3 linked regions of the Caenorhabditis elegans genome follow. The protein of the gene in region 2 interacts with the protein of the main gene of each other region in a pairwise test. Each region holds a gene or a part of one and is shown on either strand. Other genes may lie near its edges. The genes, in order: sahd-1, rike-1 and git-1.

Region 1 (3,756 bases), on a different chromosome or scaffold from region 2:
CCTGAAAGTTGTTACTCTTGAGTTGAAAAAAATATTGAAGGTTTAAAAAACTCTCAAAGCCTTATAAAACTTAAATATTTTCTTACAAATGGCAATGGGAGAAATATTTTGATGAAGTATTGAATGCCTTAGATCACTTTTCATAGTTGGAGATTTGAAATAAATTTTCATTATAATAATAAATTGAGTAGTTATAATTTTTGGAAAAGTCAACTTCAGGCTACTTACAGTAAATTGAAATAAATGAAATGAACAACTTACCGCTGGTTGTGAAATTTCGAATTCGTGTGCTTCTTTTGCTTGCTTTTCCAACATTGTCTTCATTTTTTCTTCCTGCGGACATATAAGTTCATAAGCTCCTTCAGAATTTTTGACAGACTCACTTTAGCACTTTCCAAGTTTGCCTGCTTCATTTCGTTTATATGCGTGGGATGATAATGGTGAACATGTACCTGGAATATACTTTAAAATTCATCAGAAATAATTTTTTACCATCAAATTGTTCCTGCTTTTGAACGTTTTCTTCTTTTTGCAATATGGACAGTGGATGACATTTGACTGACGAATGTGGCCGTGATAATGACTGGTGAGTCCAGTTTTTTGAGTTGATTTGAAGTCACATAACTGAAATTGAAAAATTATCTAAAGCCTACTTTTTTCAGACTGATAGTGAGGTGTGTTTTCATATCTCCATGACGGCAAGTCGTCTCCATCCCCTGCAACAGCGGAAAAGCAACGCTTTGAGCAGATGGAACTTGACTTCAATTCCAGGAAGGATTATTTGAAAAAAAAAACGTAAAGCTACTCACCTAAACATGTCAAAAATGTAATAAAAACAACATTTTAGAAAAGAACTGTCGGAACATCAAACAAATTTTTAAAATTTACTTTAAGAAACCGTTTTAATAAACAAAAAAGACACCTACCTCGCATCTAAAATATTTATGTTTGCATTCCAAATCGACATGAGTAATCAGTTTTGGTTTATTCTCAAACTTGTTCCAACACTTTGGACATTTGAATGTTTTTGTGGGTGATTCTTCCATTTATTCTCGAAATGGAAAAAAAGAAAATTGTCAAAAAAGAAAAACTGGGCACATTTCGCTCCCCCGTATTTTTTATTAGGAGGCAGAATTATCACATTTTATTCGGCAGGGATACCAAAGGGAAAATGATGGTTGTACGTGGTGTGGGAAGAGGAGAAAATAAATATGCATAGAACATTGATCCGAACTGTAAGGAGGGAAATTATAGTTTTTGAAACAAGTTTTTTTTAATTGATAAAGCAAAAAAAGATTGAAAATGACGTGTACTTTATGATAAAAGTGCGGTTTCCGTACCTTTCCTATCTATACTCTTATAGTTTATCAGAATATGTCAAATGCTCATTATACGGTTTTAACATAGTTCTAATTTTGTTGTTGAAAATTGTTGAAAGCATGAAAAAAGCCGCGTCAGGTGGATGTGTCTGCCTGATCTTCGCTGTTTTGAGTTTTGAACAGTTTAGATTTCGTATTTGAATAATTTTCTTGGAAGTTCAATTAAGGCATTATCTTCAGTGGTAAATCAATGGGAACATGACAAAATTTTATAACAATATGTACAGTTCAACAAATGTTCGATTTTCAAAAGTTTCGGCCAATTGCTAAAACTGAGTTTTCGCTAGGAAAATCAATATGATAGAAAGTTTTTCTATTTTTTCTAAAACAGCTTCTTGAACATACTTTCTGAGTTATATTCCTATTATTTCAATCTCCTTCCAGGGGACAACAGTTTCAGTATACTTATGCGTTATTTATGAATGCTTTCTTTTCATCTTTTTCCCGCAACATGGCATGTGCCCCGTGACGTTTTACGTACTGATAAATGACAAGATAAAACCAAAGTGACCAGCAGAGTTCCCCTCGTTCTCGTCTTTTTCTCAATATTTTGTTATTCACTTTATTAACTTATTTTGTTTCAGTTTTGCAGACAATTGAACACTCGTCACCAGACCCTCTTCTCAACTACTGAAATGTATCACTTTAAGATCGAAACGGCAAGTTTTTTTGGTGACATTGTTACACCTATCAATGTTCGAATCGTCTTTAGTGTGGACAAGTGTGTGTCTGAAAATGAGATGTTGTTGTTTTTCTTTTTTTTTTATTCCTCATCACAACTTTCTGGATGATGGCATGGGACCAGAGTTTCGTGCTCTTTTGAGATAGTTGGTCCCTCATCACGTGAGCAATCTTAATGATAGTGAGGGTGGAGTTAGAGTACAAAGACACCTCAGTTATCACAGAATGTTCGGCACTTTTTTCTATGGCACGAACTTTAATCTTGGTTAAAAATAAGTTAAAGATAATGTGTGTTAGTAAAACATATTTTAAGTCTTCAAATCAATCACTAAAGTGTCCACCACTGCTCCTGAAAGGAGAGGTATCGCTAGGTCAAGCCCGAGTCCAACTCTTTAGCTGATAAGTTTTGGTAATTTTCTCAGTTAACAAATTTTTAAATGTGTAACATTTGCTGAATAGGTAGGTATCTACCGGAGTTGTATAAACCAAATATAGGGCTGATCAGTGTGTATTTCACTCAAACTATAATAAAACCCGTTAAGATCTAGTCACATTAATTTAACTTCAAATATTCTATCAAATCGCAAAGCTCTGGTATAAAGGCACAACCTGAACTACTCCAGAATTAACTGAACTATGAGATCTTCAGACGCTCCTACCGTAATCCCTACAGTAGTACTCTCATTACTTCAGGTTTTGCTGATACATATATATGTGTTGATCGCAAAAAAATGTTTCCAGAGTTCTTAGCGTTCGTTCGAAACTCTGACAAAGTAGGAAAGTAGGATCTACCGTATTCCTCATATTAGTGCTCTGATATCAACTACTCGTACTCTGAATGTTTGTTTTATTATTAATTCATCATAGTGTCCTTTTTAATACAAAGTTTCAAAACAATCATTCTATAAAAATCACGTGTCATTTTTTTGCGTTCCTTGTTGAGAGCCAAGTGATATATATATAGGTGCATAATGTTGGACAACAGTAATGATTTCATTCATTTCTATTGCAAAACTATTTTTAAGTCTGAAATGGGCTTTAGGTATTGAAATTGTGAATTTCAGAATACCACCACAAGTTTGAAAGGTCCCCGATATCGGAGTGCATCCGTCATGGACAGTGGCCAACCATGGTTTCCAAAGATTCACACAAAAGAAGTTCGGCGTCGACTGAGTTCTTTGAATATTGCAACCCCATCATCTTCCCCGTAAGTTTGTAGAGCTGCAGTTATGAGGAAGTTATAGAAAAAAGTTGGATCACCTTTTATTGATATTGTACAAAATGTAGTCGTCGCGTAGAACCTACTCAGATAAGATGGAACCACTTCTAATTAGTAAAAAACCAGTTCTAATAAGCTTTTTCGACCAATTCCAGAGACACCCAGATTAGGTACGGTGGGATATTGTATACAATGGCCCCAAGCGTACCCCTTCCGTAATTCCTACAGTAGTACTACATTACTGCAGGTTTTGCTGATATTTATAATATATATATAAAATATTAATTTTGTTCAGAAGTTGGCAGACCGTGAGCCAAATTTTGCCAAGACTTTTTTCCAAAAACTATTGAAAATCCGGGAAAAAATCGTTGCATCAATAGTTTGAAATTACAGTGCACATAAAGGGCACATTCGTGCATTAAACAAAAATTGTCGTGTCGAGACCGGGTACCGTATTTTTGGCGAGAAATTTGAAAC
Region 2 (3,756 bases):
ATAGCATCTCTGCCCGAAAGGAGTGGTTCTTCATTTCCGAGGACCGCCACCGCAACAACGTCGGAACTACATAATTTGATATACTTGTTCACAAGAAAGCATTCATATAGGATACCTTGAAAGCTTCCACTGATAGACGGTAAGTTGTGTTTCCAGCTAATCCAATAAATGTGTAGTCGCGCAAAAATGCATCAACCAAAACTGTTTGAGATGATTTTTCCGTTTGTTGTGAACCTGAAATCGTAAAACTCAAATTGGTAAGATAACAATTATATTGTGAGCCTATCATATATTCTATATTCTGAATGTTCAAAATGGCCAGAGCTCGTACTTCTCATAACAGTTACAACTAATCGTTGTCTTGTCACAATTTCTTCATCGGAATCATGTTTCCATCGAATTCGAATTGCGTCATTTCTAACCTCAATTACATCGACACCATCACCTTCTCGATCTTCATCGATATCGTTTTCTCCTGCTAATAATTCGAAACTATTTATAGAACTACGAGCTTATTAACTTACAAACGAGTATTAAGTACGGAATAAAAATCAGAAAGTGTATGGGAAATCGCATTCGAATTAGATTGACGTTGTGAAAACAGAAAAATTAGATTGGATGAAGAGAAAAGGAGAAATCATCGTGTGTCAAAAAGGATAATATTGATAGAATTCTTTCTTGGTCTTTGAAAACGAGAGAAGAGAAAAATAACGAAAATTTGATATCGGTAGGAGAAAGGCATTTTATCGTGTCGCAATAAAAAAAACCTTGAATACAGTAATTCAAACCTGTCCTAATTTTTAGATATCTGTAAAACGAACTGGAAATAAATGAGAAATTCTGTGAAAGGTGGATATAAAATTGCAAATTTCCAACTTTGGCTAATTTCCCTGATCGAATTTTCTCTAAATTTAGAACTGCACAAAAAAGCGAAATTAGAATATGGTGAATGGTTTCAAAATGAGCGTGGCTTCTTCATTAGGTTCAAATAAGTATTAGAAAGAGTTGGGAAATTTTGATTTCAAGCAATTTTTTAAAATCTGAGAAATTTTATATGAGGAAACAGAACATTTCAAATAATGCTAAAACAGTTACTTAAAAGCAATGATTTTCATCATTTTTTAGGATATTCTATTTCCTTTTTTAACCGTGGCAATGTCCGTATGTTTCTCTCATTCTCTTTGTCGACGGATAAACGCGCCTTGCTCATTCTTATTTTATAATATCTTCTAGTTTTCTTCCGAATTTTCGCTGTTCATTGTTTTGTTCCTGTGTTTCAAAATAAAACTATTTCAATATTGCATGTTTTCGAAATTTCTCCAATCGTCAAAATTGAATCACTTTTAAATCTATCGAATTTCTTTCGGATTCGAAATCCAAATGGGTTTTGATAAATTAATGTCAAGCTTCGCGGCCTAGAATCCTTGCGTGTGCAAATGCGCCCTTTCGAAGTATCCGGATATATCCATAAATAATATTTATTTTCCGCCGAAAATTTTCCGGATAGAAATTTATTCGCGTGCCGCACACCACTCATCCGCGCGGAAAATATCTTATTCTTATTTTATTTTAGAAAATCCTTTTGCAAAATCGAATGCGCAAGTTTTCCCTAAAAATCGATAATTTCACACACATTGAACCTCTTTTCAGACAAGACGGGTCAACAGTTGGTTCAAACACAATAATTTTCAAGAAATGTCAATTGTGAATACAACAGAATGCATAATTTGTTATAATGAATATGGTGAGCACATTAATGAATTTCGAAAAAAACTTCTAAATTTCAGACACCGAACTCCGGAAACCTTGCATAGGCACATGCGGCCACTCCATATGTGAAAGTTGCAAACATCAAATGGTCTCATCAAAATGTCCACAGTGCAATCGAGAAGAAGCCTTCGCAATTACTACAATCAATTATCAAGTTTTAGAATTAATAAAGCACTTTAAAAGTATGCAAAGTGGGGGAGTAGCGCCACAGGCACAATCCACAAATGTAAGTATAATTTCCTTTTTCTATAAAAACCCAGAAAAAGTTTTTGCAGAGCTTAGACGAAGGAACATGCAGTGAGTGCACCCTACATTCCAAGAAATTACGAATTTGTAAAACGTGCGCCGTCGGAAAAGGAGTTCTGAAGCAAGCCGAAGGCAAAAAAGAATTAGTATTAGTTGTTGGAGATGATGGAGTCGATGAAGCAATGACACGAGCTAAGAAGATGGCGATTTGCGGTGATTGTGCTTTGGATGGGGCCCAACACGAAGGACATCAGACAATGCAGCTGGCTCTTTTGAAAAATAGTATCGAAGATCAAGCACCGACTAATCTCGGAAATAAAATCAGTAAAATCAGTGAGCTTTCGAAGCAGGTGTGCGATGATATCTCTGACAAATTTGCGGCGACAATTAAATCACTTCAAAATTACTTCGAAAAGCATGAAAAGTTGTCTCCGCCCGGAAGAAAGACTCACTTCAACAACATCGAAGCTGAAATGGAGAAAATAAGTGATACGATAGCTCTTGTCAAAGATGCTGGAACACGATTGGATTTTTTGAATAACGAAATCGAAGAGCACGATCGAATCGTTTTTCAAACTAAACAACCTGTTACTAAGGCAAATTTCGTTTTCGCTAGTCAGGATCCCGTATTGGTTGCAGGTAAAAGTTATATTTATGTTGTGCATTCTTGAACGAAAAAAGCTCATCGCGACGCTCGCGTGTCGTTCGTTGTTATCATGCTTTTGCATTTTATACAGACTCCTCCCGCGATTCCAGTCTAAAAAATCTCTCAAAATTATTCTTTTTTTCCAGATCGAAAGCAGAGTGCCCGTGAACCACTTTTGATTGGAGTCTACGATCCTAAAAACAGAGGATGGACGCCAGTTGGGCGAATGCCGAACCCAAAATCAAACTACGCTGTTGCCTGCAGCAAATCTCAAATTTATATAGTCGGAGGAATGAATAACGGATCATGGTTGAACAACGTTGAAATGTATGATCGGGAGAAAAACTTGCGAAGAGATGTGGGTTATTCTTTCAGCTTTTAAAAAATTCTCTAGAATTGTAAACTTTTAAAACAAATAATTTTTATTGATTTCAACAAAAATGTCAAAGTTATTACAGTGTAATAAAATGAAGCGTGGAAGAACACGAACGTCGGCGGGAATCCATAACAACAAAATGTACGTGGCCGGTGGATATGATAGCACTTATATGAATTCTGTGGAAGTTTATGATACTGATCAAGGAGAGTGGAAGGATGGACCATCGTTGCAAAGGCCTCGTGCCGATGCAGCGGTTGTTCCATGCAATGGAGAGGTTTATGGTATGATTTCGATTAATTAGTTGATTAAAAAAGGTTTAATTTCAGTGTTGGGAGGTTTCAATGGAAAAGAATATGAAGAGAAGATTGAGAAGCTGTCAGAACCTGGTCAAAAGTTCGAAATTGTGGGCGACATGCAAGGAAGTCGCGCCGGATTTGGATCGTGTGCCTTCAGAGGAAGAATCTACATTGCTGGTGGATGGAGTAACTCGAGTAATACGTTGAGATCAGTTCGAAGCTATGATCCATTGACGAAATCATGGAGAGATGAGCCATCGTTGAGCAAAGATCGAAAATATTTCACTCTTCACTCGACGAACGAAGCTATTTATGCTATTCGCGGATGTGCTGACAATTGGAGCTTAATCAATGAAGTCGAGCGATTTGATCCAGAAAAACGTGCATGGGAGATTATTAGTTGCTCCGGACCAATGGTT
Region 3 (3,756 bases), on a different chromosome or scaffold from region 2:
TCATCACTTTAACGCGCGAATGCACATAAAGAGCCAGCCACGTTTGAACCGATCTGTTCCAAGCTTTCATTCCATCGCGGAATCCATCAGAAAACTCAACCTGAGAAGAAAAGCAAATGAAAAATAATAATTAAATAAAGGACAAACTTTTGGAATATCTAAATTAACAATTGCGTCACTGCTCATTTCAATGTTTTCTCTTGTTTTCAGCTTATCGAAAGCATTCAAATCCGTTGGTCCCATGATGATTTTTGGATTTGAAGCAGCTGGGTAAATTCCGATTCCGAGAATAACACAAATCGACTCCGCAATTGCCCAGGCACTGAAATTTGTTAATACTATTACAAAAAGTAGTGAAATAACTAACCTGTATACTCTTGTTTTAAACACAACAAAAATTAGAGCAGCGTAGACGAGTCGAGTAAAGAATGAGACCTCCCAGATTGCATCCGATCGAAGTATCTGAATGGGCAAGTTTAAAAATGAAAAGCATTGTTGGGAAACGCACATCAAGTGGGAAATAGTGGTTCGTGATCACAAAAACTGGAACCGACCAGAGGAGACGAACAAATCTAGACTTCACTTCCAGTGTGGGATCCCATGATTTTAGAATTGGGTTTTGAGAATCAATAAGCATTTGATATGTGTAGTATGGTCCTGAAAACAATTAATAATAATTGCATATTGTTCCCAAATGTCTATTTAGAAATTTACTATGCAGAGTTTATTTGAGCAGCTGCTGAAATACACATTTCTGGTCAACTCAAACTAACCCGTGAAAAGTCCGCAAAAATGATAAAAGTAGGCAAACTTCTCCAAAATAGTAGGAAGCTCTGTTAAGTATCTTTTCGTCGGATTCTCATCGCTTTTGTGAACCCACGCGTCATTTTCTTCAAAGGTGATGCCAATTATCTGAAATAGTTTCAAAAAATAAATATTCCAGTAAAACACTTATTTTGGAAAATAATTTCAATCGTTGTAAGACCCATCGAGGAATGAGTCACTATTTAAACTCACTACCTAGTATAGAAATTTAGTGCAGTTGTTTCACAAACAATATATATGCTTTTTCTTTACTGTTTTTGAAGAAGGAAATATTTTCAACTATTACGAAAACAAACTCTCCGTAATGAACACGTCTTTTCTGAAACAAAAAACTTACTCTTAAAGTAATAATCAGTTGAATGACATTGGTGTGGCTGGCGACTTCGTTGACAGGCAAAATGTAATGCGCAAATCGAACAAACATCAGATAAGTGAATGTTGTGAGGAAAACGTAGAGTGGTGTGCTCCTGCAAGTTTAAATTAGTTTCTACTCGTTTTTTCTTGTAATATTACTTTTTGTTAGCCAACAGTTGAATCGAAATCGCAATCGAACAAATTCCCAGTGAATATACAATTTTTGGACCTGCAACATGCCATTTTGGTTTTTATTGTCATTTTCAATTACCAATAATAAAAAGAGACATAGCAAATCCGAGTGCTCCAGATGCCAATATATTATTTCCAATTTTCCGTACATAACAAGATGCTCCAAAAGAGAAAAGCAACAATCCGGTGTATATCCAATCATCTTTGGACATCAAGCCAAGGATATTTTCCATGATATTACCTGAAACAAAAAACGAATACTTTACAAGAATAAACCGTACTGGCGAACAAAAAATTAATGGCATAAACTGTGTACGTCGATAAATGTGCCAGCTGCGTGGGGAAACGCGTCAACACGCAGCTGACGTGTTTGCGGACGCATTACTACGAACACTTGGAGTGCGCACTGCGTGATGAGATCCGAAACGGCCTTGTTTGCAACTTTTGTCCCCCGCAGAATGATACAATCACTTTTTCTAGTCTTTAGTCGTTTCTTATGTTATTAGTGTGTGATTTTAACAGTTGCCGTCATTTTTCATATATCTTTTCATTCAATTTTCTCATATTTTGCAGGTAGTAATAGTGGTTGAAAAATGTACACAGCAGAGGCGCTTGACCGTAAGTTTTATAGTATTTTTCACAACAAAAAATGGATATTTTTCAGTCATAACATCACTTGAGCAAAAGGAATGCGATGACTGCGGCAAAAAAGAAGTCGAATGGGCGTCGGTAAAAAAGGGAACCGTGATTTGCTCCGAATGTTTCTGTTTTCATAGTTATCTTGGTAAGTTTAAAAAAACTTTAAATTTCTATTAAAACTTCTGAATACTATTCAATAACACCGACTATAAAATCTATAAATTTACACAAATTCTCCGTTGTTTTCCCAAGACCCCGGTTGTATGAAAATCGATAAATAGTACACTCACAGGCCCGTCAGTGAGCTATCTCCGTCATCTGCGCAAGAGTGCTTGGGATGAGGAGCATATTCGTCTTGTTCACGCTCTTAACACGTATGTTTTAGAATAGTTTAAACATAATAATGGAATTATCTATTATTTTTTTCAGATCTAACACCAACATGATATGGGAAAGTGCTTTATATGAGGGATCAACAAAGTTTCAGAAACCAATGGCCCAGTGAGTTTTTGCTATTGAATTAAACTGTAAAACAATTTTGTAAAACAATTTTGTAGAGACCCATCTCATATCAAAGAACAATTTGTGAAGGAAAAATACGAGAAGCTGACATTCCAACCGAAAAGAGGAAAGGATGAAGATTTGGAGAATAGTTTGAATCGACAACTCATTGCATGTGCTCGCAGTGATTTTGCTCATGTCACTTTAAGGTGCTTGTGACTTCAAAAACATTATAGGGACGAAGTTCATAGCAACAACACAAACTTTTAAATTTCAGACTCATCGCTCTCGGAGCTGATGTAAACTATCCTGATCCAGAAACTGGGGACACTGCACTTCATGTTGCAGCCCGAGAAGGCAATTCAAATCAAGTAGAACTTCTTTTCCTGTATGGAGCTGACATTATGGCACCAAATAGAGAAGGAATGCTTCCATACATTCTTGCTAGAGATGCGGGGCATGTAAGTTTTCTTACTCTCAATATGCTTGTTCAGTTAAGCATTTCAGGGCCAACTTTCACATCGCATTTATGAATTCTTCTTCTACGTTTTTGATCGCTTCTCATTTTTCATGTGCAATCGAAAAGCAGATCATAAGAACAACCAGGACTTTTTCATTCCTGAAGTCACTGAAAAACAATTCCTGACAAAAACTAATGATTCGAGAGCAGCGATCTCAGTTCTCCCGAAAGGTCAATTCTTTGACCTATGTGAAGATGCGTTTGATGAAACAGTTCGCAGAGAAAATGAAGTCAACTGGAACATGACAAAATGGGCAAAAACTGCCAAAGGGCCAACAAACCTTTTCTTGCCGGTATAGTTTTATGAAACCCATTCAAGCTATAAATATTTTTATAGCCAACTCCTCAAATGTCAGCTGCTCGCAACCAAAGAAGACAGAAACTTGCCAAATTCACTCCAATTCAGTTCACAATTCTCCTGATAGACTTAATCAAAGACCAAAAGCGCAGAATCACTGGAGACAATCCAGCACCAGTATCCGAACCACCCAAGAATATGCGAAAGTCAAACGACACTCCACTTAGAATTATGAAGTTAGTGGATCTTAGACGTGTGTAATTTAATTTGATCTTACAGAAAAAGCGAATACGCCGATTATGATGAAGTAGCTGGAATATCATGCAGTCCAATTTCGGGAATTGTTCCCAACTCTCAGGCTAATACGTTAGATGAATCGAGCAGCAGAGTGTGGGACGAACTATTGGAAATGAAAGAAAGACTTTCA

The links.
Region 1: the proteins of rike-1 (region 2) and sahd-1 interact in a two-hybrid assay, tested with the Caenorhabditis elegans proteins (one large-scale study listed by BioGRID).
Region 3: the proteins of rike-1 (region 2) and git-1 interact in a two-hybrid assay, tested with the Caenorhabditis elegans proteins (one large-scale study listed by BioGRID).

What each region holds. Positions count from the first base shown.
Region 1 is NC_003280.10:5,513,151-5,516,906, reverse strand, and holds the start of sahd-1 (Deoxynucleoside triphosphate triphosphohydrolase sahd-1), read left to right. Parts: upstream 1-2,014; coding exon 2,015-2,038; intron 2,039-3,124; coding exon 3,125-3,267; intron 3,268-3,756. Other genes in the region: ZK177.3 (C2H2-type domain-containing protein), read right to left, coding at 1-1, 262-333, 384-452, 493-624, 927-1,046. UniProt on the Caenorhabditis elegans protein: Has deoxynucleoside triphosphate (dNTPase) activity. dNTPase activity acts as a regulator of DNA precursor pools by regulating dNTP pools. Phosphorylation acts as a switch to control dNTPase-dependent and -independent functions.
Region 2 is NC_003283.11:14,543,761-14,547,516, reverse strand, and holds the start of rike-1 (RING-type domain-containing protein), read left to right. Parts: upstream 1-1,695; coding exon 1,696-1,744; intron 1,745-1,787; coding exon 1,788-1,996; intron 1,997-2,036; coding exon 2,037-2,655; intron 2,656-2,808; coding exon 2,809-3,020; intron 3,021-3,111; coding exon 3,112-3,322; intron 3,323-3,367; coding exon 3,368-3,756. Other genes in the region: C53A5.13 (Fibronectin type-III domain-containing protein), read right to left, coding at 116-234, 332-478, 525-576.
Region 3 is NC_003284.9:10,522,954-10,526,709, forward strand, and holds the start of git-1 (Arf-GAP domain-containing protein), read left to right. Parts: upstream 1-1,944; 5' UTR 1,945-1,964; coding exon 1,965-1,989; intron 1,990-2,035; coding exon 2,036-2,155; intron 2,156-2,302; coding exon 2,303-2,384; intron 2,385-2,439; coding exon 2,440-2,511; intron 2,512-2,567; coding exon 2,568-2,720; intron 2,721-2,788; coding exon 2,789-2,972; intron 2,973-3,018; coding exon 3,019-3,324; intron 3,325-3,368; coding exon 3,369-3,565; intron 3,566-3,608; coding exon 3,609-3,756. Other genes in the region: Membrane-bound acylglycerophosphatidylinositol O-acyltransferase mboa-7, read right to left, coding at 1-100, 148-322, 368-462, 509-657, 774-912, 1,163-1,292, 1,339-1,408, 1,451-1,604.